Linked DNA regions of Oryzias latipes. The protein of the gene in region 2 purifies or fractionates together with the protein of the main gene of each other region. This does not show direct contact. Links are inferred from orthologs where the notes say so. Each region holds a gene or a part of one and is shown on either strand. Other genes may lie near its edges. The genes, in order: anapc1 and lethal(3)malignant brain tumor-like protein 1.

What was found.
Region 1: the proteins of lethal(3)malignant brain tumor-like protein 1 (region 2) and anapc1 purify together in Homo sapiens (affinity purification with mass spectrometry; 4 studies listed by BioGRID and IntAct, counting the BioPlex papers as one, with this or other methods). This does not show direct contact. The link is inferred for Oryzias latipes from reciprocal best matches to the Homo sapiens genes L3MBTL1 and ANAPC1.

Annotation. Positions count from the first base shown.
Region 1 is NC_019873.2:15,506,627-15,509,691, reverse strand, and holds the end of anapc1 (anaphase-promoting complex subunit 1), read left to right. Parts: intron 1-1,413; coding exon 1,414-1,545; intron 1,546-1,676; coding exon 1,677-1,825; 3' UTR 1,826-2,235; downstream 2,236-3,065. UniProt on the Homo sapiens protein: Component of the anaphase promoting complex/cyclosome (APC/C), a cell cycle-regulated E3 ubiquitin ligase that controls progression through mitosis and the G1 phase of the cell cycle.
Region 2 is NC_019865.2:7,371,730-7,375,560, forward strand, and holds part of lethal(3)malignant brain tumor-like protein 1, read right to left. Parts: intron 3,217-3,831; coding exon 3,128-3,216; intron 2,896-3,127; coding exon 2,791-2,895; intron 2,634-2,790; coding exon 2,498-2,633; intron 1,828-2,497; coding exon 1,736-1,827; intron 1,424-1,735; coding exon 1,272-1,423; intron 402-1,271; coding exon 325-401; intron 1-324. UniProt on the Homo sapiens protein: Polycomb group (PcG) protein that specifically recognizes and binds mono- and dimethyllysine residues on target proteins, thereby acting as a 'reader' of a network of post-translational modifications.

The DNA.
Region 1 (3,065 bases), on a different chromosome or scaffold from region 2:
AGCCTTTGCAACAGGCATTGTCCTCTGTGAAGGGAGGTGTGTTCAACTGGAGTTTCAATCTGCAAGAAAAGCATGTGAGGAGTATCAGCTGAGCAGTCAGTTGGCTCTTTTTAAACACATTGTGGTGCTTGAGAGAAAAATATGTTTGTAATCTTCTGGCAGGGAGGGTTCTTGTTTTGACTTGAAGGACAGATGCCAAAAATTCTTTTTTTTTTTGACAACTGCATGTTGCTTGAGAAAACACACCTATTTTCAATGACATGAGCTGAACATGTTTCAGCTGGTTTTAATGCAAAGGCTGTTTCCTTCGTATTAATTTCATGTTTCAATGTTAAACAGACTGTGCATAAATCCAAACAAACACCCTCCAAACCTTCCACACACAAACACGTTTTTGGAGGACAAAACACACTCCTAGGAGCGTGGGAAGCAAGTGAAGGGATCATGTCAACATCTCTAACTCACCTTTCTGTTTCATTGTTTTGTTTAACTTGTTTCTGTTGAGGAACCAAAAGAAAAGTGCATCCTTGGCAATAACTTATCTAACAAAACTTTGCAACTCAAACATGAAGACTTTACATAAGTTACACATTTTAGTGCCTTTTCTAAAGGGCATTAAAACAGGAATGTCTCTGGTTACACACAGTCAGGTTAAATAAATATTTCATGAATGAAACATCATATCTTAAATGTCTTTCATTATGCTGTTCTAAATATATCAGAAGGGCTTTCTTTATGTTGTTTCTTTATAAAGGCCACATGTTGCAGCATATTTGGGGGATTTTTGACCAGCAGTTCAGCAGAGTTTGGGTGGCTGAATAATGCAGCTTCTTTCTATCAGTCTCTTAAAGTATTTCCCAAAATCATGGGTGGGGCTTGTTTGGGTCACTGATTTGTGTGACAAGTTTGTGACTCTTTAAGCTAAGCAGCTGCTCCCTCACCTTTTAAACAGCTGGTTATTGCTGCATTGCAGAGTAAACCAAATACACCGCCCTTATAAAATTATTGACTCTGAACTGGGTGCAGCTGATAAAGGAGCTGATCCGTCAGGGTGGAGTTGTCTTTGAGAAAATGAGACTAAAGGCTGACAAACTGCCTCTTTAAAAGCCATTATAGTTGACATTGTTTTGTGTCACTTCACTGATCCTGTATTTTCTAAAAGACAATAATTGTGAGGTTCACTGATATGAAAACATGTTCCACTCCATGTGTGGGCATGAAATAGAGGGGGATTTAGAGCACACTTTTTCAATGAAGCCTGTCGGCACATAAAAACTAATTCTCTATAATGTAATGCGGTTGAATAAGAGGTTTTTTTTTTAAGGGGCACTACAGTTTAACTTGTTATAATGGCTTGCTGAACACTTTCAATTGTTTAAAAAAAGGCTAACCCTTGTGGTTTCTCTTCTGCAGAGAACAGTGTTGTCGTGAGGTCCTACATGAGGGGGCAGGTTCCCTCCAGAGAAGCCCAGTCCTTGATGCTGGCCTGCTTCCTGATTTATCGCTCCATCCCATTTCTAAAGAGCTCGCATACACAGCTGGAGGGTAAGTCCAACAGATGTTCACACAAAACGGTACAATGTTGTCTCCTTCATGCTGTCGCAGTTGCACTGTGGCGATCGGTTGGGTATTTTAATTCAACCATAGTAACACGTCAGTGATTTTTCTGCTTACAGGCTGCACTTCATTTGGGGATTTGGTGTCCCACGGCAGCCAGCTGGGTATCCCTCTGAGAGACTTGCTCCGGCTTGTACCCATTCTGCTGGACTCTCCTATTGGATCCCACAGTCTCCTGGGTTTCCCTCTGCAGGCATTTTCTTCATGATCTATTTAACTGATGGGCAGGTTAATAGACTCAGAGATTAATGTTGCAGTTTCAGATGGGATTGAGTTCAACACACAGTCTGTAGTACTATGTTGCTAGTATGATGCAAAGTTTATGTAGCCTTGAGTGGGGATGTGGCTACAAACTGTCTTGTTCTAAGCTTGTTAAAAGTGGAACAGAAATGACAGTTTTTGTGTAATATAGTCTTATATATAGGATTTTTTACAGTTCTAAAAAGGTCTGGTGCAGTCATCATGAGGTTTATGTGCCATTGTTGTGTAACAACAAACCTGAGGTTGGACTTTTAGAAAAACTCACAGGCAGCTTCATCCTCTTCCTGCTGAGTGCAGATGTGAATGAGGATTCTTGTCATTGACTGTTAATAAACCAAAACAGGATAAACACACGTCTCTGGAGAATTCACGATTATTGTGGTTCATAACAACATAATAATTAACACAAAAAGCTCATTTATGCAGTTGCTCTGTTAATGCCTCTATCCTATTTTCTCTTCTTCGTTGTAGGTCTCCACTTTGAAGTTTAAGAAGACAGTCTGTCCCGCATGTTCTTTTATGATCGTATCACTAAAAGCTAAAGAGCAGAGCCCTTTTGTTTAGCCTTTCTTCTGTTTCATCTATATTTTCTTTTTGTTTAACACAGATGTGATTGCTGCATCCCTGTGGTAAATACAGAGTTTTCTTTTAAGTCAGTGTAGGTTCCAAACAGGCTGTGCTGTGCTGCATTGGGTGGTTTCCCACATTAAAGGCTTTCCTTCAGCTTCCAGTGAAGAATAGATTTTTTTACTCATGGGGGGAAGGGGGAGCTGGCCTTCAAGTACGTATTTTGTCTCTTAGGTTGACACAAAATCACGTTGTTGAGTCTGAAGTTAATCCAGCTGTTTGCCTTTAATGTGACTCACGATTCAAAATTAACTTAAAATGTCGCCACCTTATTTAATGACTTATGCAGCCCTTCAGGTTTTCCAATCAATTAAATTAAACAAACTGGTTGTTTACCTCTTAAATACAATAATGGAGCTTTATTTGAGCCTTTTCATAATTGGAAAGGAACTTTTGGCAGGTATTTCCACATATTTACACTTTAAATACTGTCGTAAAGGCTTAATCAATTTGGTTAACTAAAGTATAAAAAGGTGACGGATGCTTGCACAAAGATTCACATAAGGAAGAAACAAAACAGAAGTAGAAATCTGGATGTGTGTTGAGGCTGTAGAGTAGTC
Region 2 (3,831 bases):
AAAAAAGTGACTTTAAATTTTTCATGACAGTAAAAATAACTTTTTCTAATGTTTCCACCACAATCAAAAGAATAAAATAAAATCCATCTTGCATATTTTGACTGCTAAAACATTTGTTAACCTATTTTATTTTATTATTTTTTTGCTGCCTTTCACATAAATAGAATTCTCTTCTCTTGAATGATGTGCTGTTTGGCAGTTTTGTTGTTTTTGGCTGATCGGTGTGGAAGTGAACACTGAAGCGAGTCACCTTTATTGTTTATGAGCTATTGTATAACTCTGAAAGTAATGAAATCACTGATTAACTCCTAACACGTTGGTCACCTTGGGGCGGCGTAAGGGGGAGGTTCCTCTCTTGGCACCAACCAATGGGATGAATGTATGGACTACTGGCATCACACCTGCAGCAGAACACCAACAAATTAACAGAATTACAGGAGAATACACGTTTGATAAATGCAGGTGGGAAAAATCCCAGAATCACCGAAACGGTTTGAGTGGATCAGGCTGTGGAGCGGCTGACCAACAACAGCAGACGCGTAATCTACATGAGGCATCAAACCTCAAAGAGATGACTGCTTCTTAGTGTGTATCATTGAAGAGACAATAAAGACTTCTGCTCTAAAAGGTTAAAAAAAAAAAAAAAAAAAAAACTGACTCATTGCAGTTTGTCATCACAATGCCAATGATTAACAAATCAAAAACCCCAGACAGAAACTGAAACTAGGCTCATTTTTTTCCCTCATTATTACAAAAAACCCTACCAATTAGGTGATTTATTATTTACAAATTCAATTAAAATCAGTGGTTTGTCTATTTACTTTCAGATAAATAACCCCAGTAAATAAGAATTTTTTTCTAGCCTTTAAAATGGGTTAATTGTTTGATCAAGCATTAAATTTACTATGAGAAAGGGCTAGTAAAAAGGTCAATTTAATTACTGCATTGAGCCTTTAAAAATGTGTATAATGGACCGATAGTTTTCCTCATTTAGCTGGTTTTGCCTTAAGAACTAAGCCAACTGCTTTTATCTGATTGGTCAGTTTATGCCTTGAATAACTTGAGATGCAGCAAAAAAATCATGTAAAAAATAGGATGTTAAATAAATGTATCAGTGCAACAAAAGTTATTCTGACAAATAGAAGTACTGGGTCCTATTTCTCCATAGAAGTCTATGAGGTTTCGGCTTGTTGGAACATGAGGAAGGAGGGGTCACTCGGTCCAGTTCTCATGTACAACGTAAAAAAGCGCAACAACCAACGATGGCTGACCAGTAGTCGTATGTGTCATCCCAGTTGTCAAAATGAACCAGGAAGCGGTTGTCCACGGCGTCGGTGACCGTTGCTACACAGATGAGGGAAGGGTTCATGCGGTCAACCGCCTCCAGCTTCATTCCAATCTCAAAGCCACAATTCACATCAATCTGAAACAAATAAAGGGTAAATAAAATACTAAATAAAACAATATATGTAAAGTTTTTATTATAGAGACTTTTTTTTTTTGGGACTTTGGCACTAAAATAATGTTTAAACAGCCAGCGATTGAAAAACAAATTTTATAAAAGTCTCCAACACCAGAAAGATGGATAATAAAGTTCTTAGTTGAACTAGATGCATGGAGAAAATTGAGACAAATGTTTGAGTTTTTAATGGAGGTGCTCTTTTTAAAGAAATGTTTCTTTTCATCAACTGTGTTGAAGAAAAGTATTTCTATAAATTATTTCAAAGACACTTACTCTGCCAGGACTGGAAAACAGCTCTTTAGGAGCCACTTGAGCTTTAGTCATTTTCAGGTAGTTGGTCCAAGTAAACTCTTCTTCTTTACATCCTAAAAAAAAGGACAGAAATGCAAGGAAAACCATGTTTTATGTCTGATTTGAATAATAACTAATTTATTGTTATCATCCATTAAGGATTTCACTTACTTTCAGTAATATACAGTACAAACCAAAAGTTTGTGTCAAAACATTTGGTCTGTACTGTGTGTGTGTGTGTGTGTGTGTGTGTGTGTGTGTGTGTGTGTGTGTGTGTGTGTGTGTGTGTGTGTGTGTGTGTGTGTGTGTGTGTGTGTGTGTGTGTGTGTGTGTGTGTGTATGTATGTATGTATGTATGTATGTATGTATGTATGTATGTATATATATATATATATATATATATATATATATATATATATATATATATATATATATATATATATATATATATATATATATATATATGTGATTTATAACTACTGTGGAGGGAAATAACGGAAAAAAACAAGCAGGAGAAATGTCGTAACTATTTTTTTTTAAATAAAAATGCTGATTAAAATAAATAAATGCTATTTGGATCTTTACACTAAATTATAAATAAAGAACCTGAATTCATGCACTCACTTTGCTACAGTATGATTAAAGTAGAGACTTCCCAAACGTTTGCATGCAAAAAAATTATATCATTTATAAGACAATGGTCCTTTGACGTGCATTTAGATCTATGGTGGTGTCACCTCTGACCTTTGGGCGTGTGCAGTTTGTGTCCTGTGCTCTCACACCAGCCAGCAGGATGGATGTCCAGGGAGTTGGCGTTCACCCAGAAGTCATGACAGTCAGAGTAGCCGTCAAAATGCAGCCGCAGCCGGTAACCACAGACCTGCATGACGGCATCAGCGCACATTAAGCAAAGCCAACCACAGAGGTCATCACCTCCCCAAACTTTTTGGCAGGCTGTCACTTATTTTTTGGAAGTGCCTTAATGATTAACAAGGTTTATAAGGCACGCTTTTTTTCGGATCTACTGCCCGACTCACCTCGGCAACAGTGAGGACGAAGTACATGGAGGGATGCTGCGGATCGATGCCTTCCAGCTTCATTCCCTGCTTAAAACCGTTCTTCACTGTAGGCACCCTCTGCGTCTGGAGAAATTTAAAGAACTCCCTTTGTAAAAACATCTAAATAAAACTTGGTTGACGCAAAAACACCCAAACCGCTTCAAAAATTAGGTTTTTAAAAAATGAAACCATAGTGCGAACTTCGTTAATCCTTTATTTATCATATTAAAAACAGTCAAAATGCATTTCTTTGTTTAGGTTAATTTTAGGTTTAGTTTCCAAGACAACCAATGTGTACTTTGGAAGACAAGTCTACCTCTTGGAAGAGCTTGCTCGGAGCAGCGACAGCTTTGGTTTCCTCCAGATACTGAGCCCATGTCCACTCTTCTGTTTTACTGTCCCCTCCTTCTCAAAAGACACCAGTCAGCTTATTACTTCATGCAACGGCCAATCAGAGTTTTTAGAACAAGCGCATCAATGAAAGAAAAAAGATGGAGAGAATCAAGGGGTGGAAGCCAACCAAAAACGGAAAAAACTAAGAATAATAATCTTCTCGTCTAATTTCATTAAAAACATTATTATCTCATTGGGAGAAATAATAGAAAAGGAGATGAAGAAAAGAAAAAAATATAATTTTAAAAAAGTACTTTTTCAGTATTACAAAAGAATTGCAAAAACAGCAACACATGTGCAGTTAATTCATTCATTCATTTTCTTAACCGCTTTTTCCCTTTCGGGGTCACGGGGCTGCCAGAGCCTATCCCGGCCACTTGTGGGCGAAGGCAGGGGACAACCTGGACAGGTCGCCAGTCTGTCGCAGGGTGGAATGTCCGCAATCACACACCCATTCACTCTCACACTCACACCTAGGGATAATTTAGAGTTGCCAATTAACCTATGAACGATGTTTTTGGACGGTGGGAGGAATCCGGAGACCCCGGAGAGAACCCACGCATGCACGGGGAGAACATGCAAACTCCGCACAGAAAGGTCCCCCGTTGATGTAGTTTTTCACATCCC